Linked DNA regions of Coturnix japonica. The protein of the gene in region 1 purifies or fractionates together with the protein of each later gene. This does not show direct contact. Links are inferred from orthologs where the notes say so. Each region holds a gene or a part of one and is shown in the gene's direction. Other genes may lie near its edges.

Evidence for each region.
Region 2: the proteins of EXOC8 (region 1) and RALB purify together in Homo sapiens (affinity purification with western blotting; 6 studies listed by BioGRID and IntAct, counting the BioPlex papers as one, with this or other methods). This does not show direct contact. The link is inferred for Coturnix japonica from reciprocal best matches to the Homo sapiens genes EXOC8 and RALB.
Region 3: the proteins of EXOC8 (region 1) and EXOC7 purify together in Homo sapiens (affinity purification with mass spectrometry; 4 studies listed by BioGRID and IntAct, counting the BioPlex papers as one, with this or other methods). This does not show direct contact. The link is inferred for Coturnix japonica from reciprocal best matches to the Homo sapiens genes EXOC8 and EXOC7.
Region 4: the proteins of EXOC8 (region 1) and EXOC1 purify together in Homo sapiens (affinity purification with mass spectrometry; 3 studies listed by BioGRID and IntAct, counting the BioPlex papers as one, with this or other methods). This does not show direct contact. The link is inferred for Coturnix japonica from reciprocal best matches to the Homo sapiens genes EXOC8 and EXOC1.
Region 5: the proteins of EXOC8 (region 1) and EXOC5 purify together in Homo sapiens (affinity purification with mass spectrometry; 5 studies listed by BioGRID and IntAct, counting the BioPlex papers as one, with this or other methods). This does not show direct contact. The link is inferred for Coturnix japonica from reciprocal best matches to the Homo sapiens genes EXOC8 and EXOC5.
Region 6: the proteins of EXOC8 (region 1) and EXOC3 purify together in Homo sapiens (affinity purification with mass spectrometry; 5 studies listed by BioGRID and IntAct, counting the BioPlex papers as one, with this or other methods). This does not show direct contact. The link is inferred for Coturnix japonica from reciprocal best matches to the Homo sapiens genes EXOC8 and EXOC3.
Region 7: the proteins of EXOC8 (region 1) and EXOC2 purify together in Homo sapiens (affinity purification with mass spectrometry; 7 studies listed by BioGRID and IntAct, counting the BioPlex papers as one, with this or other methods). This does not show direct contact. The link is inferred for Coturnix japonica from reciprocal best matches to the Homo sapiens genes EXOC8 and EXOC2.

Annotation. Positions count from the first base shown.
Region 1 is NC_029518.1:35,755,087-35,759,380, forward strand, and holds the start of EXOC8 (exocyst complex component 8), read left to right. Parts: upstream 1-1,494; 5' UTR 1,495-1,564; coding exon 1,565-3,085; intron 3,086-3,460; coding exon 3,461-4,069; 3' UTR 4,070-4,294. Other genes in the region: SPRTN (sprT-like domain-containing protein Spartan), read right to left, coding at 843-942, 1,128-1,462. UniProt on the Homo sapiens protein: Component of the exocyst complex involved in the docking of exocytic vesicles with fusion sites on the plasma membrane.
Region 2 is NC_029522.1:21,413,456-21,417,573, reverse strand, and holds the start of RALB (ras-related protein Ral-B), read left to right. Parts: upstream 1-1,318; 5' UTR 1,319-1,418; intron 1,419-4,118. UniProt on the Homo sapiens protein: Multifunctional GTPase involved in a variety of cellular processes including gene expression, cell migration, cell proliferation, oncogenic transformation and membrane trafficking.
Region 3 is NC_029533.1:3,933,592-3,937,091, forward strand, and holds part of EXOC7 (exocyst complex component 7), read left to right. Parts: intron 1-1,150; coding exon 1,151-1,189; intron 1,190-2,237; coding exon 2,238-2,303; intron 2,304-2,964; coding exon 2,965-3,085; intron 3,086-3,474; coding exon 3,475-3,500. UniProt on the Homo sapiens protein: Component of the exocyst complex involved in the docking of exocytic vesicles with fusion sites on the plasma membrane.
Region 4 is NC_029519.1:58,587,710-58,590,764, reverse strand, and holds part of EXOC1 (exocyst complex component 1), read left to right. Parts: intron 1-1,153; coding exon 1,154-1,337; intron 1,338-2,954; coding exon 2,955-3,055.
Region 5 is NC_029520.1:50,516,155-50,519,654, forward strand, and holds part of EXOC5 (exocyst complex component 5), read left to right. Parts: intron 1-2,409; coding exon 2,410-2,474; intron 2,475-2,965; coding exon 2,966-2,994; intron 2,995-3,159; coding exon 3,160-3,269; intron 3,270-3,500. UniProt on the Homo sapiens protein: Component of the exocyst complex involved in the docking of exocytic vesicles with fusion sites on the plasma membrane.
Region 6 is NC_029517.1:80,091,863-80,095,362, forward strand, and holds part of EXOC3 (exocyst complex component 3), read left to right. Parts: intron 1-613; coding exon 614-833; intron 834-1,593; coding exon 1,594-2,275; intron 2,276-3,500. UniProt on the Homo sapiens protein: Component of the exocyst complex involved in the docking of exocytic vesicles with fusion sites on the plasma membrane.
Region 7 is NC_029517.1:61,951,771-61,955,868, forward strand, and holds the start of EXOC2 (exocyst complex component 2), read left to right. Parts: upstream 1-1,298; 5' UTR 1,299-1,419; intron 1,420-1,620; exon of another isoform or gene 1,621-1,641; intron 1,642-1,672; exon of another isoform or gene 1,673-1,762; intron 1,763-4,098. UniProt on the Homo sapiens protein: Component of the exocyst complex involved in the docking of exocytic vesicles with fusion sites on the plasma membrane.

The DNA of each region.
Region 1 (4,294 bases):
CAACCTAAATCTTCCCTCTTTCAACTTAAAACCATTTCCCCGTGTCCTGCTATTGTCAGCCCTTTCGAAGAGTTTACTCCCCTCCTGGGAATAAGTTCCCTTCAGGTATTGAAAGGCTGCAATGAGGTCACCCCGCAACCTTCTCTTCTCCAGGTTAAACAAGCCCAACTCCCTCAGCCTGTCCTCATAGGGGACGTGCTCCAGGGTAAGCATTACATGTAATTTAAAAACTAAGCTTGAAATGTTTTATCTTTTTCATTCATCTCTGCACTGATCTCATCTTTATACGTCATAAAAACACAACATTTATTCTACCTGTGAGATCATTAACTCTGCTTCCATATAACACTGAGTGATGGTCCACAATAATTATTCTATGTGTGAAGTTGTTAATTCTACTCCAGTGCAATGCTGAGTGTCCTTGCAATAAGAAGAAACAATCCTGAAGCTCGTCAGACCTCTAAGGAGGTCACACCCCCACGAACAAAGAGCTACATGTAAGGAGGCTGAAATTACAGCACCTCTGTTCATTAAGCAAACCTGAGCATTCATAATATCTGAGTCACCATATGTATGAACTCCAGTATGAAACATAAGATGTGGGAGGTGAGGTGCCATCTGTTTCATGTTTCACAGAATCACAGAATTGTAGGGGTTGGAAGGGACCTCTAGAGATCATCGAGTCCAACCCCCCTGCCAAAGCAGGCTCCCTACACCATGTCACACAGGCAGGTGTCCAGGCGGGTCTTGAATATCTCCAGAGAAGGAGACTCCACCACCTCCCTGGGCAGCCTGTTCCATTGAACAGTTCCAGTTTGGATATGTCAGCAGCCTTCGTGTACCTCAACCAGGTCCTTCCTCGGCCTTAACTTCAGGAGCGGCTCACTCAGGCGGATAGAACACATCCCGCTGTTCCCTTCGTATTTACACACTCCAGCGCAGCTGAAAGAGACCAGGGAACAAAACATCGTAAGCGATGCTCTTATTATGTATAGTCAGCTGAGAACTGTCACAGAGCGGCTCAATACTGAGCAGCCCCCCTCCAAACGAGAGGAGGGTGCAGAACCCCATCAGCAGCACCCGGGGGCTCCCAGCCCCACCTCCCCCCTCACCCCCCCATGTCGTACAGGGTCATGCGCGGGCTCCACGACACCTCCACGGCCGCCAGCCGCCCCCAGAAGAGCGCCTGGTTGAACTGCACGAACAGGCCGTGCACGTCGGGGCTGGGATCCAGCAGCTCCCAGGCTTCATCCACCACCGACAGCGGACGGAGGGACAAGGGGTCCGGCGAGGCCTCTACACGAGCCGGCGCCGCCTCCTCCTCCGCCTCCCACAGCTCCTGGAGCTGCAGCGCCAGAGCGAAGTCATCCTCCTCCTGCTGCTGCTGCCACTCTCGTTCCACACCCGCCGTCAGTCCCCGTGCGGCCATGACTGCGCCAACCAGCTCCGTTGAGCTGCGCATGCACACCCCGCACTGACGCACTCATTGTGCGCCGCGCTTCCCCGCCCGCCCCTTCCTCCTCCCAAGGTGTCGGTGTCGGTGTCGGTGTCGGTGTGTGTGAGCATGGCGCTGGCGCTGGGGGAGGGCGGCGGTGGCAGCCGGCTGCGGCGGCAGCTGGAGTCGGGGGGCTTCGCGGCGGCGGAGTACGTGAAGCAGCTGTCGCAGCAGTCGGATGGAGACCGGGATCTGCAGGAGCACCGGCAGCGCATCCAAGCGCTGCAAGAAGAGACGGCGCAGAGCTTGAAGCGCAACGTCTACCAGAATTACCGGCAGTTCATCGAGACGGCGAGAGAGATCAGCTATCTGGAGAGCGAGATGTACCAGCTCAGCCACATCCTCACCGAGCAGAAGGGCATCATGGAGGCCGTCACGCAGGCCCTGCTCCTCCAAGCCGACCGCGACGACCCCGCCCTGGGCGCCCGCCGCGCCGCCGCCGCCGCCGACCCCTTCCTGCCGCTGTCGGCCAAGGAGGCCGCGGCCAGCGAGGAGGGCCGGCAGCGGACGCTCACCACCCTGCTGGAGAAAGTGGAGGGATGCCGCGACCTGCTGCCCGAGAGCCCCGGCAAGTACCTGGTGTACAACGGCGACCTGCTGGAGTACGACGCCGACCACATGGCGCAGATCCAGCGGGTGCACGCCTTCCTGATGAATGACTGCCTGCTGGTGGCCACCGCGCTGCCCAACCGCCGCGGTGCCTACCGCTACGATGCCCTGTACCCCCTCGAAGGGCTGGCCGTGGTCAACGTCAAGGACAACCCGCCCATGAAGGACATGTTCAAGCTGCTCATGTTCCCCGAGAGCCGCATCTTCCAGGCCGAGAACGCCAAGATCAAGAAGGAGTGGCTGGAAGTGCTGGAGGAGACCAAGCGCAACCGAGCCCTGAGCGAGAAGCGACGCCTGGAGCAGGAGGCCCTGCCCCGGCCCGCCCCGACACCTCCTGAGTCCACCAACCCCTTCGAGGAGGAGGACGAGGAGGAAGAAGAGCCCTCCGTTGAGGAGGAGGTGGTCGACCTCTCGCTTGAGTGGATCCAGGAGCTGCCGGAGGACCTGGACGTTTGCATCGCTCAGCGGGACTTTGAAGGGGCTGTGGACCTGCTCGATAAACTCAACGAGTACTTGGGAGACAAGCCTGTGAGCCAGCCCGTGAAGGAGTTGCGGGCCAAGGTGGATGAGCGGGTCCGGCAGCTTACGGACGTGCTGGTCTTTGAGCTGTCTCCGGACCGCTCGCTGCGAGGAGGACCACGGGCCACACGCCGAGCCGTGTCCCAGCTTATTCGCTTGGGCCAGTCCACCAAGGCGTGTGAGCTCTTCCTGAAGAACCGGGCGGCCGCGGTGCACACAGCCATCCGACAGCTGCGCATTGAAGGTGCCACGCTGCTTTACATCCATAAACTCTGCCACGTCTTTTTCACCAGCCTCCTAGAGACGGCCAGAGAGTTTGAGACAGACTTCGCTGGCAACAACGGCTGCTACTCTGCCTTCGTTGTGTGGGCCCGCTCTTCCATGAGGATGTTTGTGGATGCCTTTAGTAAGCAAGTGTTTGACAGTAAGGAGAGCTTGTCAACTGCAGCGGAGTGCGTGAAGGTAAGAGTGCCCATGGTGGCCTGAACAAAGCTTGTAGATCTTCATTTCTAACCCCAGCATAGTTGACTGAGTGCAGCTCTGGAAGGGTTTTCTGAATTAAACTGTTCGTATTCATTTGGAGTTGGTTTATTTTTCTTAAGTTTAACCAACAAAACATTAAGATGAAAATACACAGCAAGAAAAACCCTGCCCTTACCAGAAATGCAGAAAATGTTCTTCCTTAATTTGCTTTTAACTTTCTCAGTAATAAGTAGTTTCTTGAGGCAGAACTGAACCAGGACTAACCTATCCCTGCTTTCTGATGCACGCCCCCTTTATATTTGCTGTGTTTAGTCAACTTACCAACTTACACTTTGTTTTTCCTTAATACCCAAGGTAGCTAAAGAGCACTGCAAGCAGCTCAGCGACATTGGACTGGATCTCACCTTCATCATCCACGCCCTTCTGGTAAAGGATATCAAAGGTGCTTTGCAGAGCTACAAGGATATCATCATCGAGGCCACCAAGCACCGCAACTCTGAGGAGATGTGGAGAAGGATGAACCTGATGACTCCGGAGGCTCTGGGGAAACTCAGGGAGGAGATGAAGAGCTGTGGCGTAGGCAGTTTTGACCAATACACTGGTGATGACTGCTGGGTCAACCTTAGCTACACTGTAGTAGCTTTCACTAAGCAGACTATGGCCTTCTTGGAGGAAGCGTTAAAGCTTTACTTTCCAGAGCTGCATATGGTTCTTTTGGAGAGCCTTGTGGAAATCATCCTAGTGGCTGTCCAGCATGTTGATTACAGTTTACGGTGTGAACAGGACCCTGAGAAGAAAGCATTCATTAGGCAGAATGCATCCTTCCTTTATGAAACTGTCCTTCCTGTTGTGGAAAAAAGATTTGAGGAGGGAGTTGGAAAGCCAGCCAAGCAGCTACAGGATCTCAGAAATGCTTCAAGGTTGATGCGTATAAATCCAGAAAGTACCACCTCTGTGGTGTGAACGAGCAGTTCTTACGAACGGGGTGTGAAAGCACTTAGTGAAAATGTTGTACATTGCATATATGAACCAAATGGGTTTTTTGAGTTCCTAGAAAATGTGGAAGTCTGGTTGCGGGATTGCAGAGAATGAAGTTACAATCAAGGGCTTCAAGGGTTCAACACTTCTGTTTTTTGGGGGGGTGGGTGCAGGAAAGTGAGAGGTAGCAATTGAGATCACGTGTCCTTG
Region 2 (4,118 bases), on another chromosome or scaffold:
AAGTCCACTAAGAAAATGCACAAATAGAACAAGAAATCTGGCAGCAAAATATTTCTGTTCCAATGTAATACAATACAGCTGAAAGGGCAACACCCTGGTGTGCAGCTCCATAAAAGTGTTCACCCAACAAACACTGAAACACAGAACCCCCAAAGGTAGGCTGTTAAACCAAAAGTCAGTGCAGGAGCTTGAAAATGACAGTGACCTACGATGGATGATCTTAATGCTGAACTTGGAATTAACTGCATGAAAATATCACAGGATTTTTTTTAACACAAAAATGGAAATCTGAAAGGCAATTGCAACGGCCTAACAGAGTATTTAGCAATTCCAAATATGACGTAAAAATGTCGTGTGCTTGAAGAATGCAGTAAGTTTACCCCTCATAGTGTTTTGTGAGGCTGTAACAGAAACAAAAGTACCCTGGCAACCTGAGAAAATATTCTGTATTAGTCACTTGATAAAACCGGACAAAACCAATAAGCTTTCAGGCATGTGGGTGCTTCTTCAGATCTGAAATAGAAACTGCTGATTTCAAAGATAAATTCAGGTTAAGAACAATAGTGTCAAGGTAGGACATCTGCTTTGCTTTGAGTGTTTACTAATTTCTTTTCTTTAGGCTTGGGAAGTAAATGATGACCTGGGAAATAAATTAATAGCAATACAGCCCAGTAGATGGGTAATTATTTCTGAAGTAAGCTTGCAATTAGAAGGGGACCAAGGAGTAAAACTTATCCCAACACAAAATCACATTCACTTCCCATGAGATTTGCAAGCCTTTTTGCTTACATTCCCTTAGAAAATGTTAAATGGAGTCCTAAGTCACTTGGGTGTTTTAGGTGATATTACTTTCACTGGAAAAGACAATATAGAAGTCAGGGAAATGCCAAGGAGTGGATGCTCTTGAGTTTATGCTGGTTATGCACTCCCGGCAGTGGCTGTGGGAGCTGACAGTGTGCAAATCTGTGTTTAGCAAGGTCAAGGCTTGAGATGTCACATACACACAGACCATAGAGGGAACAGAGCAGCGCTCCAAGGTGGCTCATTTGTAATACATCTCTCAGGCTACTCCTAGCAATGAGGTAAATATTGTTTTCTAAATTTGTCATTTCTATTCATTGAAACTGTTTTGAGAGAGGGTTGGGAAGGCAAAGCAGGAATGTCATTCTCTGTTATTGGCCATTCAGGAGTTTTGAAGCTGTTACTTCTTCATTCACCTACAGCAGTTTCTTTGTTTTCACAATGAGCACATGATATCATATCCTGAGCCCTTCCCTTTTTGCACAGCTCTGCAAAGCAAGAGGAGGAGTCCGGCCCTGGCCAGCGTTACCCTGCTCAGAACACTGGATCTGCTCCTGCCATCCCCTGCCTGCTGCTCCCTGGGGAACCACGGCTCTGGGACAGGCTCCTTTGGCACGGTGAGTATCAGCTATGAAAGAAGATGGTCTAAATAGCTTGTGAGGTGGTGCTGGAGAAGGATCAGCTCTGTGTTTGTGTATGTGTGCAGTCAGTGACACAAACACACGTGAAACGAGAACTCGCATTTTCCAACACTGAGGTGAGAAGCACAAGCTGTTTCCTGGCCCAGCTGGAGTGAGAAAAGGAGAGCAGCAATGGGGAGGGCTCTTGGGGTACACGGACTGGCTCACAATAGGGGCAAGGTGCAGGAATAGGACAAGGTGCATGCACCCTGTGAGCCTACCTGCTGTGGGTAAGACAGGAAAAAACAGATGCTGAAATTTATGCAGAAGAAGCTTCAGAGTGAGCACGTGGCATTGTGTTAAGGCTGGATGACAAGCACCTCTTGTTTATTCTTAGTCTGGTTTGCCTTAATGAATGCAGTAGAGCTAGCTAGTAATAAGCAATATACGAAGAGAATAAAAGAACCAGTCTTCTATGCTGGTTCCCACTCATCCTTGGGGCATACAGGCCAAGTAAACACATGAATAGTGAGTCATTGATTTCTTTTAATAAAACTTCATAACCTTTGCTCTGCAATGCAGAGAGAATGGAGGATTTAATGGAAAGGTTCTGCCACTCCCGGTGGAGGGACCAAAGTTTTGTCTGGATGTCTCTGCCATGCTGAGTAGAGATGTATTAGCTATATTAAATATATATTTATGATCAATTAGTGTACGAGTAGGTTAGTATGTTCTGGAATTTACATTGTAGAAATGTTACAATAAAAGTAAATGATCCACTTACATTCCTATTTACCAAATTATGTCATAGAATTTATTTCTTAATCTGAAAGGTTGCTTTTAAAAGAATGGAAACCCCAGGGGGCACTTGTCCATACTAAAGTAACAAACCACATCATATCAGAGCTTGGTGAGAGGTTTAAGATACTGGTTTACCTACTGGCCTCACTCTGTTTTGAGTGGAACCTACAGAAAGCAGCAGTGATGTTTAGGAATATAAAAATAACAACAACTGGCTTTAGGAAAAGGCAAATAAACTGCATCCTTTCCCCAAACAGTGTTTGGTACAAGCAGCATTACAAGAAACATGTAACTTGTGAATATGTCGTTGATTGCTCTATACTATCCATTTCTCTTTGCACATTGTGGTTTTGATTGTTTCATTTCTGGGGTCACAGAACAACAGCAGTAGAAACTGTTGCCTTATATCACCTCAGCTGCATTCTCATAAGAGAAAAAGCCACCTTTGTCTTTAATTGAAGAGAGAATCATATATTTTTCTTATTAGTTGCAGTTTAGTCAGTGTCTAGTTTGTTTGTATGCTTTTTATTTTCAATTTATAAACTCTTCTCAAGGGCTCCACCCACAGTTTTTCCTGTTGTTAATTGTTTTGTTGTCATGCCTAAAAAATTCAGAGATGAAAGAAAAGTGAGCTTCCTTTATAGAAACCACCCAGCTCTGCTCCTGTATCCTGTTTATAAGTGTGTTTAATAATAAATTTTCCACCACTTTACATCCAAGAACTTTTAGGTATGCAGCAAACATTTAATTAATCTCAGAAAGAATGTGTGAGGTTGGTTCCCTCATTTTACAGGTGAGATGGAGAGTGAGGCAGTTAAATTAAGTGACTTGACTAATATCACACTTTGAGTCAGTGCTAATGCTGAAAATAGAATTTATGTCTTCAGGTTCCCTGCCCCGTGCTTTAATCATCATACCAGACCTGACTCTAAACTTGAGCAAATTCCTTGAATGATTGAAATAAATATTCTCAGTTGCACGTTGTATTATTATGTCTGGGGAGACCTCATTGTGGCCTTCCAATACTTGAAGGGAGCATATAAACAGGAGGGGGGACAGCTGTTTACGAGGGTGTACAGTGACATGACATGGGGAAATGGTTTAAAACTGAGACAGGAGATGTTTAGGTTACATATTAGGAGAAGGTTTTTCACCCAGAGGGTGGTGACGCACTGGAACAGGTTGCCCAAGGAGTTTGTGGATGTCCCAACCCTAGAGGCATTCAAGGCCAGGCTGGATGTGGCTCTGGGCAGCCTGGTCTGGTGTTTGGAGACCCTGCACATAGCATGGGGGGTGGAACTGGATGATCACTGTGGTCCTTTTCAATCCAGGCCATTCTGTGATTCTATCTTACTATGATTTTCCAAAGTCTTCCATGCTTAGGACTCTTTTAGTCTTTTTTTGTTCAGATGTAGCTTCAGATATCAGCTGCGTATATTTTGCCTATAGTAATCCTGAACTTTAAAAATATACTCAGAGATCTCTGAAAAAGAAAAAGGATAAGGAATGCACTTAGAACACACAGCAGTCTCACTGATGGGAATGCAGCAATGCTGTTGTTCATACTTTCAACAGCATTTCCACTTAATAATATCTATAGCTTCAGTAAATGGAGCATTGTAAAGGTACTGCCCCACAGAAAGAAGAGCGACTGCTAGTTATGTTGTCACGAGAGAATGAAAATGTAGCCTGAAGCACAAAAGAGCAACTGCATCTACAGAAAAACCTGCTTAGACATGCAATTCTGAACTGTATCCTCTCTGAATAAACTGGTGCATAAAGATGTACAATCCTTGAAAACCTGTTTAAACAAATAGTACCAATGTTCGGGCTAATCTCATGTCCAACAACTTTATAGCTTTTTGAGCATAGTCCTTTCTTCACAGAATCACAGAA
Region 3 (3,500 bases), on another chromosome or scaffold:
TGTCCAGCCACTGTCAGGTTGGGACTCCTGAGAGCTATTCATGCTCAGGTGAGAAAAGTTTTAGCTCTGCTCTTGAGGTCGCTAAAGAAACTAGTTCCAGAAGGAAGTACATATATTGAAAGCTGAGAGCACTGGCCTCATGCAGTGATGCTGAAGATGCTGCTGCTTGTCAGCTAGAGCTTGACTCTTGGTTCTGTGCAGAACAGCAGCTCTCAGCTCTGCAGTGAGCCCTTGGCCTAGACAGAGCTCATGCTTTCAGATAGGTAAGAACAGAGCAGGCTGGTGAGGTGCAGAACTGGAGCACAGCACAGGACATCAGTGCATGGCAAGGCTGTCCTCATTTTGAATTTCACTCTGGTTACTGAGTTTTGGTCAAGTTGTAGTTCCTGCTCAGGTGACCTGATGTCATTCTAGACAGAGCATTATCAGATCAGAGAAATTTGGGAATGTTCACTTCTGTTAATAGAGGCATCTGCTTTGGGATGGTGAATTGCACCCAAAGGTGCTTCTCTAATGACACCTTCCAGTTGCTTGCACAGATGTGGATGTCTGGAGTTGAGTTTGAAAAGTCTCGTAGCAATCCCAAATGATGGGAAATGCATTTTTTTTTCTGCAATGTTCCCTTCAAGTAGTAACAACAAAAGCAAAGTTTACCAGTTAAATGCAGTGACTCCAATCTGATGCTTTTACTGCCTGCAGAGCCACTCAGGGGGGCCCTATATAACCACACAGAGGTAGGGTGGGATGGTTTTATGTAGCTTCTTGGAAAGGTTACATGGGCTGTGCAGTGCATTTCAAGGACCAGTAAAGTGCTGCTGTTGTGTGAGAAGGCTTTCTTTTGTCTCCAAAGTTAGCTTGAAGTGGCTTGGAGTGAGGTGTCTTGCTAAATGCAAACAATGACAATACAAACCATGTCTCTAGCAGGGGAAGGAAGTTAGACTCAGCCTTTTCTCCACCATTTCCAGCTTCATTTGTGGCCTTGGAGGGATTCCTGCCTGCTCTCTTGTGTAACTGTCTGTGGCTGCTCTGTGTTAATATCTGCTTAGTTCTCAAAGGGAAGGTGGTCTCTAACCTGTGTTTTTGCACTTTGCGTTTCTTTTTCTCTCTCCTCCCTCCCCTTTTTCTCTCTGCTCTGCCTTAATCCTTTTAGTTCTTGGGGACACATACAATATTCCTTTAGATCCCAGAGGTAAGCAGACTTACCCTCACATACCCACTTATTGCCTTGGACACTTGTGATGTACGTTAATTCTTTGTTCTCTGGGAGTGATAAATAAATTAACACATAAAAGGGGAAAAAAAAAAAAAGAGAGACACATAATTGAAAAGGGAAAAAGGGGAGGGGAGGGTAAGTAACTCTTGCCAATGAGCTGGAGAGAATAGGGCTTGTCACCTGCAGACAAAGAGGGATGCCACATGAGCTGAAACAGGCTAAAGGCACTCTCATGGCACTGAGTCTGTTTGGCATGGGTAGCAAATTGGCCCAGCTGGTGTCATGCCTTATCCCATGTGTGCTTGGTTCCTCATTGTCCAACTCCTGGCAACAGGAGCCCTGAGGCCTTTCCCAGGGGTTGCTTACTAACTCAGACCACCCGACCGAGGCTTGGCTGCCAGGCTCTCTGGTGGGGAAGGAGGAGATAGCTGCCCTGTATGTTCCAAGCCCACAGGCCCTCAGGGGCAGAAAGCCATCCCTCTAGTGCACAGACAGAGGGACACATACCAGCCCACAGTCACTGCTTGCCCACGAGCAGGTGTTCATGCTGGTGTGGTCTCTTGTACAGAGCCAGTCAGGCCTTGTTGACGACTGTGGGGATGGCTGAAACTTTCCAGAGCTCTTTTGCTTGTTTCAGTTACTGTTGTATGCCTGCTGTTAGCAGCTCCAGCTCCTTTGCTCTCTGCCTGCACATTGCTGTTGCTTAAAACCCCGTTTTAGATGGTGGGGGAAGGATGGGGAGGATGTGCTTCTAATCAAGAAGATGGAGGGTATCCTCTGAGCACTAGGGAATGGTTTCTGCCAGGGTGCTCAGCACCTGATGCAGATGCAAGGATCATCCTCACCTTGGATAATCCACTGACAATCATCACTGAAATAGGGAGCTGATTTCACTGTTGATAGGAGCTCAGCACTAATTCCATAGCAACAGGGAAGGGGCTTGTCTGCATAGACTCAGGCTGACCACATATGCCCTCCTCTTTCCCATGGCATGTTAACTGGCCTGAGACTTTTTTCTTTCCAGAGACCAGTTCTTCAGCTAGCAGTTATAGCTCGGAGTTCAGCAGGAGGCTGCTGAGTACCTACATCTGTGAGTACACTGCAAACCTTCCCACATCTGCATGGGCTGTTTTTTCACTTGACTTCTTAAGCTCTTCACCCTGTGTGATCTTTCTGTGCTTGAGCTGGGGTATTATTCGGAGATTGGATAGAAATAGTCAGGCTGGGTGTTTTGTCCTGTTACAATTAGACAAGACAAAGTACAATGAAGAATTTAAGTTTGCTTTTATCACCAGTTGCCTTAAACTATTTTCCCACTGTTCTTTGGGCTGTTAGTCCTGCTGAACTTCAGGAAGGTCTCTGTAAAATCTCAGTTTTCTGTTTAACAGTGAAAGCTTCAGATGAGTTCACAGTACTGCCCTGTGGTGATCTGTTCTAACAGTGATCAGGTCTGTCAGGTTCCCTGTGACAAACCTCTGTTGTGGTGAGGCTGGTTCTGATCACCCATGCTGGACCTTATTCTGAGTCTGTGTTGCCATCTGCAACCAAGCACTCATTCACTAGGACGTTTTAGTGACCTGCTGAGGAAAGATCTGTGTAAAGCTTGTTGTACCCCTGTCTGCAAATTTGGTTGAGGCTGTGCTATTTGCTTTGTTGTGGATTCCCAGGAACAGCTCAAAGTACTCTTTGAATTATCAGTTACAAGAAGTCTCACTGCAAAAGTCTTCATCCTCTGTTGTTCCCTCTTTAAGGCAAAGTGCTGGGCAACTTGCAGCTTAACCTTCTTAGTAAATCCAAGGTTTATGAAGACCCAGCTTTGAGTGCCATTTTTCTGCACAACAACTACAACTACATTCTGAAATCTCTGGAGAAGTAAGTATGTAGTACTGGAGTTCATCTCTCTGAATTAGGCTGATGCTAAGTGCAGTTTTCAAACAGACTTTGGTGTATTGAGTGCATTTACCTGCACGTCTGCCCCAACTCTCCTGTACTGAATTCTTGAAGCTGCCCTTTTGAAACCTTAGCCCTATGGATAAGCATTGCATTACATAAGAGTGGGAGATGCAACCATCAGAGATGCCTTATGTTGCAGAGAATCCTTTCATCTTGAGAGGATTGACAGTGTTGCTTTGGAAAGCAACTTGGAGCAGCTCCTGTCACCCAGTTTGTGCATTTCAAGGTCCCTTTAGAGTAAAAAGGCACAGATCTTGCTGATAGCAGCTGGTTCGTGTGCTTCCTCATGTTTTCTGTTCTTCTTTCAGGTCTGAGCTGATCCAGTTGGTAGCTG
Region 4 (3,055 bases), on another chromosome or scaffold:
TTTTCTGTTTAAGATAACTCTATTACTTTAGGAAGCCTGCACCTATTCAATTTGATTTTAGGATTTTAAGACTTTTTGTTTTAATTTGAAGCAAAAATGAGTGTCTGCACTACAGTTACATTGGACAAACTTTTTTTATTAAAAAATATTTATTAAAAAATAGTAATTGGCAGTTGTTTCCCTCTTCCCTTTCCATCCCAGTTTACCTGAAGGATGAGCTATCCATAGGACGTACAACCTCTTGTCCTCAACATTTCAGTTATGTGAGCTGGCTGACTTTTGTAATTGTTTTAAACTTTTACTGAAGTCAATCAAGTAAAATCAATAGTGCTCTGACTTTTTTTTTTTTTTTTTTTTTACATTCCAAAACAATCCAAAACAACCTCACAGACTTAAGGGAAAATCAGAATCTTTGTAATATACTGAATAGACATTTATTCCTTGCATTCAGGTATTTTTATCATTAAACAAAACGCAGATTTTTGTGAAACATTAAGACTTCTCTCCTACTACCAACATATTTGCCAGTTTCTGCCACGGAGAAAGTTTGCTATTCTTAATAAGGCAGCCTTAGTACAAATACTTGTTTGTGTGACTGTTGCTTTTGCTATTATTGTTGTAAGTGTCATTTGACTCCAGGCCACTTTGGTAACACTGATCATTCATTGTCAGAGGAATGCTTGAGATACTTGGAAGTTATTATTTTTTAGCTTATTCTTAAAAACAAAATTTCAACAGGAGATTAAAGAAGCTTTCTGTGGCCAAATGAATCATTTGCTGGGTTGATGCTGAAAAGTGAAGTTGTGGAATGGAAGTCTTAAATATAATTTGTTAATTGCTTCTGGTGAATAAGTTGTGGATTCATTGTTTGTGGTATTTTTTTTTCTTAATGCTAAATAAGCAAGCAGAGGAAGATAAAAACTTGAAGATTATAAACTTCAGTCTTGAAGATTTTACTTGCCTTTCTTTCTTCACAGTTTTTACTGTTAACAAATTTGTGAAGATACAATAATTAAAAGATAAAATGATCTCCCTGATTAGACGCATGTTACTTTTTCAGTATGTTTACTTTTTTTCTATTACTAGTTATGGTTATTACTAGTTATGGTCTGGAACTGTATTGTAGAGAATAACTTCTGTGTTTCAATTCAAGAGCAATCAAATGAAGCAGATGGATGAAGTAAAAATCTCAAAGAAAAGTAAAGTCGGGATCCTTCCATTTGTTGCTGAATTTGAAGAGTTTGCAGCCCTTGCTGAATCAATTTTCAAAAATGCAGAACGACGAGGAGATCTGGACAAAGCATATATAAAACTTATTAGAGCTGTTTTTATCAGCGGTAGGTCTTCCCATTTCGTAATACTTATTAATTCCTCCTGTGTAGGTGTATTCTGCTCTGTTTAATTGATAATGTTTTTTTTTTTAAGACTCTATATTGTAAACCACATGACCAACATTGCACTGATGTTAAAAAAAAAACAACCTAATTTATAGAAGCAAGTTGAAACATTTTGATAAAATGAAATATTTAAAAGCAAACTGTAGATATTTCCCTTAACACATATATACAAAGTAACTTTCGGTTATGACAGGGGAAGTGGTTAAGGATACAGGAAGGAGGGGGGAGAGAACTGCAACACTACAGGCCAAAGTCTCAAGTGGTTTTCTGGCTTTTCTGCACCAGTCTGGCTTAAATGAGGAGATGAGACAGGATGGAATCCCTGTCATTTCATTCTAATGCTGTACAGCTTCTCAGTGCTGTGTTGTCTCATTCAGTTCTAATGTAGCCTTGTGTTCTGGCTATGAATTTGACCATATCATAGCAGATGAGGTCCTCCTGACATAGTAGAATGCCTCTCCCATCCCTTCCTGTTTTTCCAGCTCTGATCTGGAAAACCAGAACAGTCTTGTTCTCCTTGTTATTAACAAAAAAGAAATAGATGAAGGTGAAGTAAAAGAAGTGAAATGCCAGAAAAATGGTCATAACCTTTTAAACAACAGAGAGGCCTCTCCATGTTGATTTATGTACATCCTTTGAAACAGCTCGACCTGTAGTACTTCCCAATCACTGAGACTTGCCTTTTTCCCTGAGGGAGGTTGAGGAAGAGGGAAGAGTTCTGGCAATAAAGCTTGTTTGAGGAAACTAGCACAGGAGTTCTGAACATTAGGAGGTTGTGAAGATGCATCATTTCACAATATAGTGGACTACAGTTCATAAAGAGTCAGTAGAAGTTAGTAGGGCAGTGAATTTTAACAACATTGATTGCGTCCAACTATTCAGTACTTTAGAATTGATTGTTCAAGTGATGAAACCAGGCAGACGCTAACAGTCAAACCATACATTGATAGAAGTACTACTGTAGGAAGAATTCAGGAAAGTACGTTTTAAAAGAAATTTAAAAGGATTTCAGTTGAACTTAGAAAAAAAAATAATTGACTAGTACAGCATGAGCTTCAACAAGTAATTATGATGGGGATTGGTGCTTCAGTGATCTAACTGAAATGAATTGATGATATTGACTCGTACCTTGGTGCCCAGGAGTATGCTTCATAAATATTTTTCATGGTGGTTTTCCTACTTCATAGTCTCAATGAAATGATGGATGAGCGGGCATAGAGGTTTAATTGCATTCTTAGATTAATTCTGCATTAATCTGCATTCTAACCATCGTCTCCTTGGCCTGCATGCATGCAGATGCAGTAGGGGGTCAATAAGTAGAATTTCTTACACCTGCTCTGTTTTACTTGGGAGGGTTAAAAGTAAAAGCCTGCATGTATCTGATGCTTCTTTTGAAAGCCCTCGAATATTTATTTAGTGACTGTTATGATTATCGTTCATACACATGGTTATCACTGTGATAGAATCCCTTACTTTTTTCTTTTCATCAGTTATGTTTTCTTCCGAATTTGGTTGCCCTTTAGGAGTTCTAAATATTTTGTTTCCCTTATCTTTTAGTTGAAAAAGTAGCTAATGAAAGCCAGAAAACACCCAGAGATGTGGTGATGATGGAGAATTTCCATCATATTTTTGCAACACTTTCTCGGTTGAAAATTTCT
Region 5 (3,500 bases), on another chromosome or scaffold:
CCTTTTGCTTCAGAAGTGTGTTTGTGAAGCAAATAGAATCTGAGTGGTCTGGCTAATGGAAATAAATTGCAGTAGTAGTGTCCATCTGTAAGCAAGAAGAGTCTCATAAGGAATTTAACTTGATTTTTGTAATATTTTCTGTTGGAAGCTCTGAAAAAAAATCTGTGGTAGATAAATATGATAAGCCTGGAAATTGTTAAACAAATTAATCTTGATGTGCCCTGAGGACATAAAGCAAATCTGGAAGAGGAGAGGAATGCAGTAAGGTCTGGAAGTCTGATGTCAGTCTGCATATGAGGTGTGGGGGGGCACACATTTAAATAGCAAGTAGAAATAGTGTTTATAAGGAGCCTTCCTGGGTGTGAGGCATGATATCTTAATACATCTTTGAACTAAAAGCATTTCTGAAGTATGAGATAGTAATAAATATTCTGAGAGGCAAAATGTTAATATTTTGGCAGCATCCTCTGATTTTTGAGCTGATCTGGGCTTTCATTGTGATTTCTTGTTCTGTGCCACCCTTTATGAAAGCGTGGGCTTCTCTCTAAGCCATTAAGGGCAAGGGATACTGAGAAAGGGAGGCAAGGAGTTGCAGTGCAATTATTTCTGCAGGAATTGGTGTTTTTCTCGGCAGTGTCAGGTCTTATAATCTGTTGGGTTCTTACCACTTTTATTGTTTTTCCTTACACTGAAAGTTGTTGTTTCCCACGTTACTTTGTCCTTGATATACTGAGCAATTTCCAGCTTATCTCTGTGATGGCTTTTCTTGGCTGTCTTGTCCTAAGCTATATATGCTGTGTGTGTGTCTTCATCCTCCAAGCTGTTACCACTTGCCTTGCTCTGCCAACTAACCAGTCCCTCTTTTGCACTGAAGTGTCTTAAAGTGAGCAAATCAATTAAAGAACGATGTAGCAACTCACTTATTTATCATGCAACAGTATCATTATGTTCAACATTCACTATTATTCTTGCACCCTCTTCTGCGTTAGTTCTGTACTCACTATTGTTCCATTACGCCTTTCAGCTTCTTCATACCGATTCTATTAAGATTTTCCTTTGCTGTTTTGTCCGCTTCCTCAGATGCATTATAGCCTTTAAGTTGTGTCGTACAGATTCAGTATTTATTTTGACTTAATGGTTTACAGAAGCCTGATTCAATTAAAAATGAAATATCTCTGGGTTTAAGCAGAAACCATGGAGAATTGATTCGTCCTGGCTTCTGTTGTGCTTAAGAAAAGGCTGTGAATTCAATAAAAATCTAAGAAGTTAGTTAGCAGCTATTGTGTGAAAAGAAGACAGAAGATGTTGTGTTTGCTTGCTGATGTTTTTGTTTGCTCTTTATTTACCTTTCTTTTGGGCTTCTTTTTAGGTGATGCTGGTGAATAAGTGCTGATACATAGGCTATCCTGACGACATCAATACTGAGCAGAATTGTTAGTTAGCTTGAAGCAGCCTTAATACCTAATAGAAATAACTGCTGTTTCATTGGATTTATTTGAGGAGCGTGGCTGCTTTTGATTTAAGAGGCTATTGTGAGCTGACAGTTCCAAACATAAGCTGCTCTTAATAAGCAGAATGACTACACTTTATTAAAGCCTCTATTTCTGCCGCACAGCCAGCCTCGTGCAGTGACTGTGCTCTGTTTTCCTACCTGTGCATCTTCTGTTCTTGCAAAGTTTGAATCCCAAGCCTCTCATCAGCGGTAGCAGAATAGGATCTCAGTGCTTCTGTTCCTCTTGCTCTAGTTCTGTCTACATGGCTAACAGGAAAAGCAAGACAAATTGCATGTTCTTTATACTTTCTGTTATGTCTACTGGTATGAAGGCTTTGCCTGGGTATAGTAGTCAGTTTTCCTTACTCCCTTCAAGGTGCCTTCCAGTTGCTAAGATCAAATAGTAGAACTCTTTACATCTGTCTCACAGTCATGCTTTGGGCCAGTCCATGCCATTTGCCAAATAAATGACTTTTATCCTAATTCATCACAAAATATCATGTTGCAGTTCAGCCATCTATATGTTATGGTTGTTTGTTTTACTACAATATGGAAAGGTGCATACTTGAAACATGCTTGCTCAAGCCACATTACCTGGGATGATTAAATAAGGAACTCTGGTCTGCAAGCCATATTGGCCTGGTATGGTGATGAGCTTAAGGACTTGTAGAGTTGTGCCCCACATGAACATATAGCAGAAGAATTTTTATCATGTTTTGACCAGTGTAATTTGTATGTTAATTAATATCTTAAGCATCTTAAAATGCATATTGCAGGAAAGTGATCTCCTACATGGTATATCATCTAAAAGGAATATAGACTATGGTGTGAAAGCTGAGCAGTAGAGATGAAAGAAAGGAATAGGCCATGTTCAGATCTTCTTTAATAATTGGCTGTCATGTTTTTACTCATAACAGATTAAAGAGGCAGCTGATATTATTCAAAAACTGCATTTGATTGCTCAGGAACTGCCTTTTGACAGGTAAAATTCTACCTGAACTTCTCTTTAAAATAACATAGCAGAAAAAAAAATCCACAACTTCGCGTAGCTGTAATTTTATAATGCTGGGGTTTTTTTGGAGGGGAATAAGGGGGACAGCAGGGAAGGGATGGGATGGGATGGGAAGGGGCTTTGTTTCACTCTATGATTCCTGTAGTTTTTGAGAGAAATAAGTGCACCATCTATTCCTGAATTTGTGTTTGCATACTCATGTTGTAGGATCATCTTTACATACACATCCTGAACTGCTTAACAGACTTTTAATGGGATAATTTTGGTGTGCTGACTTAATGCTAGATTTGGATTAGATGCTCGTAGGTTCTTATGGATATGAAGTATGTAACTTTTCTGTCGTCTCTGTGTTATGTATATTCCTTTTTAAATAGATCATGAGTAACAGGCACTCTGGGATGTCTGATTTCTCTTGTGATGTGGATTTGAAATTAATCATGGTATTTTTTTGATGTTAACAGGTTTTCTGAAGTAAAATCAAAGATAGCAAGTAAGTTATCCATCCAGTTCAATCCATATTCCCATATATCGTAAAAGCTGATTAAAGAAATATGCAGTACTGTCAGTATTACCATTTTTGCCAGTGCTTGTATTAGATAGCTTCATGGATTACTTCTAATTTTTTTTTAACCTTTTTTCCTCTGTTCCCTTCCAGGTAAATACCATGACTTAGAGTGCCAGCTAATTCAGGAGTTTACCAGTGCGCAGCGGAGAGGCGAAATATCCAGAATGAGAGAAGTAGCAGCTGTCTTGCTCCATTTCAAGGTAAAAATTAGTGAATAAATAAACTAAACAAAACCCAAACCCAACAAAAATCCACCAGCTCATCCTTTAAGTGAAAATATTTGCACAGGCAAATGGTTGTTACCCATATATCTTTTAAAAATACTGAAATGTTCCATCTGAAATCAAATGTAGGTCAATAAAGGAGGCAAATGCCATCCCTGGAGGCATTTGAGGCCAGGCTGGATGTGGCTCTGAGCAGCCTGGTCTGGT
Region 6 (3,500 bases), on another chromosome or scaffold:
ATCAACCATATTTTCCTGGGACGTTCCCCTTACTTTTAAAACACAGTAAATGTTGTTCATAGCTACCAGGATTTCCTCTTTGGCTTCTCATAACAGGCAAAAACAAACCCGTGACAGCTCAGGCCTTTTGACCTTACATGTACAGCCAAAGTTATGGCCAGTGCTGAGCTAAACTGTGTGTGCCTCGTTCCTTTACAGTTTGCTTCAAGTCCTTGAGTTCAGCAATGGAATTTTCACTGCTGCCTTTGGTTTTGGCTTGTCTTTTGAACTCTGTTATTTCCAGTTTCATTATCTCCTGTCTGATTTCATTTTAGTTGCATATTTAAGTAGATAGCTACCTAAAACATGGATGTGGTCTGATTTCTTTCATGTGCTTTGTAACACATGTTAGTAATGTGTCAAGACTTTGAAACGATATTCAGGAGTAATGGCCCATTTGAAGAATCAAGTACTACCTGTCACAAGAGAGAGCCATATCAACAGCCTTGCCGTATGTCATAACAATCTAGTAGTCGCCTTGTCAATCTGCTTGTTTTACATGGACCGAATATTACTTACAGTGCATTATGATTAATGTGAGAGTTCTTTCTTTGTCTTTTTGCTTGCGTTTAAGGCAGCAATCCAGTCGCAGCTGGATGGAGTCCGGACGGGTTTAAGTCAACTGCACAATGCACTGAATGATGTAAAGGACATCCAGCAGTCTTTGATAGATGTCAATAAAGACTGGAGACAGAGCATCAACACCATTGAAAACCTCAAGGACGTTAAGGATGCTGTGGTCCAGCACAGCCAGCTGGCAGCTGCTGTGGAAAATCTCAAAAACATCTTTTCAGGTAGTTTGCTGTTCTTTATATAATCCATCGCAGTCTTAAAGCATTTCAAAGGGGTACAAGATACAGATGAAGGTACAGAAGATTCCCTACAAGTCTTTCTCACACAGCAGTTAAGAACCTCGAGGATGATTTGTGTTTCTACTTGAAGTAACATCCAGCTAACGGCAATGAATGTTTGTATGTTCCAGTGTTAATTTGTTTCAGGGATGTTGCTATAATTTACTGACACAAATGCAGTTGAGACCTGAATGCAGCCTTTTGTTTCCTAGTATCCTGCCAGACTTTGAGTGTGAAGTGTTTCCCCTGAGATTGTTACAAAGTAGAGTCGATGGTAACTTCCCACTCAGGGAACCAAATGTTTTTTTACAACGAGTCAAATGATTTTCACCATAATTAATGATTGTAATTGTCTTAGTGAGCCTTTTGTTTAATTGGATTGCCAGTATTTAGCACTGCCTGTCATTCTTGTGGCGACATTTCCTGCAAGTATTTTTTGTTCTTCTTGCCACTGAATCCTAATCCAATTCTGTATTGTTCCTTAAATCATAGAATCATAGAATTACCCAGGCTGGAAAAGACTTTGAAGATCAAGTCCAACTGCAGCCTAACCAGTACCCTAACTCTAACAACCCTACACTAATCTAATCTAAATACTGAATGTTGTTTTCCCATTTGTTTCCGAGCACTCATAATGTCTTGAGTTTATCTTTGGCATTTTGATCTATTTCCCCCTCTTTTTTCCTTTTTGCCTTCGTTGCAGTTCCAGAGATAGTGAGGGAGACTCAAGATCTGATTGAGCGAGGGGAACTTCTGCAAGCTCATCGAAAGCTGATGGATTTGGAGTGTTCTCGCGATAACCTGATGTATGAGCAGTATCGCATGGACAGCAAAAACACGCACGACATGAACCTCATCCATACGTACTTTGGGGATATGCAGAAACTTTCTGAGGAGCTGGCCAAGCAGTTGTGGATGGTAGTTCAGAGATCTCTCGTTACGGTTCGTCGAGATCCGACCTTGCTTGTTTCTGTTGTTAGGATAATTGAAAGGGAAGAAAAAATCGACAGGCGCATGTTAGACCGGAAAAAACAGACTGGGTTCATTCCTCCTGGCAGGCCAAAGAAATGGAAGGAGAAAATGTTCAACATTTTGGAAAGAACTGTCAGCATACGAATCGAAGGCACTCAAGCGGATACTAGAGAATCTGACAAAATGTGGCTTGTGCGCCATCTAGAAATCATACGGAAATACGTCCTCGATGACCTTCTAGTGGCTAAAACCCTGCTGGATCAATGCTTTCCCCCACATTATGACATTTTCAAACGATTGCTAAACATGTACCATCAGGCTTTGTCCACCCGCATGCAGGAGCTCGCTGCAGAGGATCTGGAAGCAAATGAGATTGTTAGCCTTCTCACTTGGGTTTTAAATACTTACAAAAGGTAAAGTCCCACTTACCTTTCTGCGAGAAAAGTTGAGGATAAGCATATACCACACAGTCTGTGTACCAATAATTGTGTGTCTGTTAACAGAAGATAAAGAAGTGGCGCAGTGGTAGGAATGCCGCGTTGCAACACTGGAGGCCTGGGTTCGAATCCCCCTGTGGCGCAAGTGGTAGAAGTGCCGCTCTGCTACACAGGAGGCTCGAATCCCAGAGGTTGGACTCGATGATCTCTAAGGTCCCTTCCAACCCACATGAGACTGTGATACTGTGAAGATACAGCTGTTTATACATAAAAAAGAAGTGGAATGATAGTAAAGGACTGTTGAGATTTGTTAATGCCTTTTACTTTCTTGAGGCTACTCAAGACTTCTCCAGGTTTTCTAGCACATGGTTTTAAGTTGCTTTATAAGCTTGAGGCTTTAAACGCAGTTCCAGACCACTGTGGAGCTGCTGTCAGCCTCAGTGTGTTTGTGCAGCACTCGGTGAAGAACTGGGGAGAGCAGAGGAGATGAAAAGCTTGTGTGTGTGAAGCAAAATGTTTTTCATTGGGCACAGCCCCAGTATATGAGTGTGATTGTTTGCTTTCTATTGTTCTCCTTTGCAGAGCGTGGGACTGTTGAAGTATTGCTTCATGTCTGTTAAATGGAAAGAATGTAGTTACTTCCTCCAGATTTTATCTTGGAACCTCACAACAGTTTATTTCTTTAGGAGAATTTCTGCCCATAGGTTCTCTCCTGCGATACTGTCAGACTCTTCATGTCTCTCCTGTGATACTGTCAGACTCTTAGTGTCTTTTGAGTGCTGTGATATGTTGAAGTAATGTAAGGATTGGGTCCGTCCCGTTGTTCTCCTGATAGAGCAGCTCAAAAGGCAGCGTTTTAATGTTAGCCGACACATAGTTACTAGGCAACTGATTTATTTGGGAAAAAGTGCTGCTCGCTTGTTGTGCTTTATGACTAACCTTCTTCTCAATAGCTGGCAGTGACCCAGAGTCTGCACCATGTGTGCTTTTTGCCGTCTTCAGTTATTTGATCTCACTGTTTCAACAGATGGAGCTCTTGGTAGGTTTAGAGTATAGCACCGTTCAGCAAATAGGTTGGAACTACTGGAACTGCTGTCCCAGGGCATTTTTATAACCTGTTTTAAGATGTGTTTTGGCTTACTCTGCTTTGCTTCATGCTGTGACATTCTTCTGCTTTTCTTCCCTATAGTGAACACCCAGG
Region 7 (4,098 bases), on another chromosome or scaffold:
TCTCTCATTGTTCCTCAGGCAGATGCCGTGTGACTATTTAACTAAAGCTAGAGGGAAGAGTCAGTAAGGAGCTGTATATTCATCCACTGAGATATTACAGCCTATAATATACCTTGTGCAGCTCTCACCTCCAGGGGAAAAAAAAAAAAACCAAAACATGTGGGAAATGACATTTCCTTGCCATGATGTTTTTTATAGCGCTTACGTTCTTTGAGGTTTTATGAAAGATATTTCCAACTAATGTCTCAATCTAGGCCTGGACTGGCAAAACTGAGAAACTGATTCTCCTTTCTGTTTTCTCCCTCATTGCTTTTTATCTGCTTTCCATTCTGATTTCATTTGCACTTGGCTTTCGCAACCAACCTCCAAACAATTCCAGCAGAAAGGGAAAAAGGATGTCTCCTTTCCAAAAGGAAGAAGAGCCTCTGTTCAGAGGTGCCTCATGCAGACAGATGGTCTGATAAGAAATCACCCCATGTTTTCAGTGGGAAACCAGCACGAATTTGCACGACCAAGCTTTGCCCATGCTGCCTGCCTACCGCCAGCTCTTGTAACAGCTGCGTCCTGTTTCTGTGCAGCCCTGCAGCGGTGCCGGAAAGACACTACCCAGGGGGTCGGGCTGCTGGGGAACAACCTGAAATAAAAGCTGAGCCAAGAAATGGAATTGCACAGCTTTGCTTTGCTCCATTTCTGAAGAAAAGTTAGTCTCCTTTTTGTACAGATGACGTGAAAAACATTGCAATCGTCCTCCACCCAACAGTGAGCCTGATGGGTGAGAATACCCATTGGTGTTGCCCATGTGGCATTGCAGGCATTTTAGGGAATGAGCAGCTCTAACCCCAAGCATACTCAGGGCCAGCACACCTGCATCTGAGGGGCAGCAGGAGAACCAACACTTGAAATTTCAACACCAAACCCTCCATGCCACAGATACAGGAGAGGTGTGACGATCATTTAGAGGCCCCACAACCAGGCCTGTAGGACACAAGCAATGCTTCTGGGAGACAGGAGATGGTAGGAACCTGTCCTTCCGACTCAAGGGCACAGTGCCTTCCTCTTGCACCACCACGCACCCCCGCACCATCCTGTGCTGCATCACAAGAGCGTGGAGTTTATTATTATTTATTACGATTGCCGTTGCTGCTGCTACCAATATTACTTCAGTAGAAGAGCTTCGTACTGCCCCACTTCCGAGCTTCTACGAGCAGACGCTCCCAACCCGAGGGAGGCCGCCTACTCCGCCTCTTGCGCCTTCATTAGGCGGGGCCCGCAGCTCGGCCGCCCCTTCTCGATGTCTCCACACTCCATCGATGTCTTCGGGCGGCGGCTGCCGGTGCCTGCTCCCGCCGGACGCGGAGGCGCTGCCGGGAGCGGCGCTGCCCCAGGTGCCGGATACGAGCGCGGCGGCGGCGGCGGCCGGTGAGTGACAGCGAGCGGCCTCCCGCCCCTCCCTTCCTCCGCCGGGCGCTGCGGAGCCGGCTCCCAGCGGGGCAGCCCCGGTCCTCCCCCATTGCGCTGGGGCGGAGACCGTCCCCATCCCGGGGGGGAGACCGAGGCGCTCTCCCGCCCCGCCCCTAGTCCGGGAGGGATTCGGGGCGGCTGTTTGCGGGCCGTGGGGCTCCGTGCTGTGCTGGGGGGCAGGTAGTGCCATATGGGACCGGCCTTGCTGGTTACCGTGAGGTGGTTCCGCGTGTGCTGAGGGCTGTGCAGGAAGTAGGCCGGGAGAGGCACGGGCGCTTAAAACTTCGCTTACTGTGTCCAGGTGTGGAGCCCTCAGTACAAGAAAGTCATAGAGATTTTGGAAAGGGTCCAGAGGAGGGTCACGAAGATGACCAGGGGGCTGGAGCACCTCCCTATGAGGACAGGCTGAGGGAGTTGGGTTTGTTCAGCCTGGAGAAGAGAAGGTTGCGGGGTGACCTCATTGCAGCCTTTCAATACCTGAAGGGAACTTACTCCCAGGAGGGGAGTAAACTCTTCGAAAGGGCTGACAATAGCAGGACACGGGGAAATGGTTTTAAGTTAAAAGAGGGAAGATTTAGGTTGGATGTTAGGGGGAAGTTGTTCACTAGGAGAGTGGTTAGGCCCTGGAACAGGCTGCCCAGGGAGGTTGTGGATGCCCCGTCCTTGGAGGTGTTCAAGGCCAGGTTGGACGGGGCCCTGGGCAACCCGATGTAGTAAATGTGTATGTTTGGTGGCCCTGCTAGGCAGGGGGGTTGGAACTACATGATCCTTGAGGTCCCTTCCAACCCGGGTCATTCTGTGATTCTGTGTGATTAAAATGAACTGCAACGCGGTTTCTCATTGAGGGGAACAGCCTGGACGTGGGGATGGTTGCATTTCCAATAGGGACCCTGACATTCTGTCCCGGCTTTCAAAATAGCGCTTCTTCCAAGCTGTTGCCTTTTCTCCCTCTTTTATATATTTCTTTGGCGTTTCCTACCACCTGTGTCTTGTTTGCTCCTTAGATGAACAGCTTCTAACACAAACACTCAAACGCTTTGAATTCACATCCAGCGAAGCAATAAGCCCTCCTAGTCTGGCAGAACATCAGGTCAAGTCTAAGCTGTTAACGCCCATTCAAAGAATAATAGACGGTCTGGGTTGAAAAGGACCATAATGTTCATCTAGTTTCAAACCCTCTGATACGTGATGTAGTTTAAAATTCTAATCTCACATTGTTTTTCCTCGTTTTCTGATTGCAAACGCTTCCCCCCCTCCTTAAGACCTGTATGTATTTCACTGCACCGGGGTTTTCTTTTTCCTTTTGATGGAGTGTTCAAACCATTAGAAATCACTAGAAATTCAGTTAGAATCACTGAATGGCTTCCTTTGGAAGGGACCTTAATGATCATCCAGTTCCAGCCCTCTCCCGTGGGCAGGGCTGACACCCAATAGTTTCTGAGGTTTGTTTTTTTTTTGGCTGTCGTTTTTTAATTATAAACTGCAAGTGAAACTTGTCACCTTTACATCCAACCTGCTTTGCTTGCTTTATTTTTACTCCCCTGAAGAAAAGCTTTGTAATTCTTAGCTCCCTATCGCCGTAGTGTCTGTCACAGCTTGCACTGACCCAGCAAGGAGCAGCCGAAAGCTGCTGCTTTCTTTCCCATGGATCGCTTAGTTTACAGGGTTTGTGATTTATGCCCACCCTTGGACAACAGTGTTTTTACTTAACCGGGGGTTCTGTTGTTTTAAACAGGATGCAATGATTTTCGTTATACTAGTGTGATTTATTTCACAGAAAATGGCATTAATTTAACTTCTGGTGGCAAGTCGGGTTGTTGGTTTTTTTTTTCCCTGTATGGAAAATTTAATTTTTCTTAGTGTTTATCAGAGGTGAAGCAGTTGGATGTTTTTGGACCTGTGATATTCAGGTCTTAGTGTTTTGAGTTGTAGGATTCCTCATGCTGAGAATATTTGAGGTAAAAAAAACCACACACATATTAAAGATGTTAAAATGTGATTCACCAGTAGTTTCCCAAGGTCCCATGAAATAGCATCCACTGATACGGTCTGTTCATGATGCTACTCCTCAAAGTGAAACTGCACTGAAGCACATTAAGTGGTAGACAAGAAACAGAGGCCACTGACCTCTTTTAGCGATGAAAGCTTGAGATATGTTATGTTAAACCCTACTTAATCAATTTCTGTCAGTTTGATATGGCTGGCTGTAAATCCAGAAAGTCTTGAGCATTGTACTTGAAACTAATCATCAGTTGTGTGTTACTTTTGATTCTCTTCATCTGGGCTTTTCTGCTTTCCCTTTGAATCCATTTAAGGGAGGCGAAAAGAGCAAGACCTGAATAGCATGATCACAGAAGTGTGTATTTAAAAGTTATTTTTGAACATACAGGCTCTGACAGCCACCGAATGAAAGAATACATGAATTAAACTATGCTTTTATTCTCCAGAACGAGGCAAGCCCGTGAAGCACAAGTGGATATTTATTACCTGTCTGTGCATTAGTTTAATTATGCAAAAAAGGCGCATGAATGTTTTGCATGGAAGAAATCAGTAGTACTTCAGTTCAGAATGAAGAACTGGTAAATAATGCTCAAAAGATTGCATGTATTACTCTGAATTTATCTTCCGCGGGGGCTT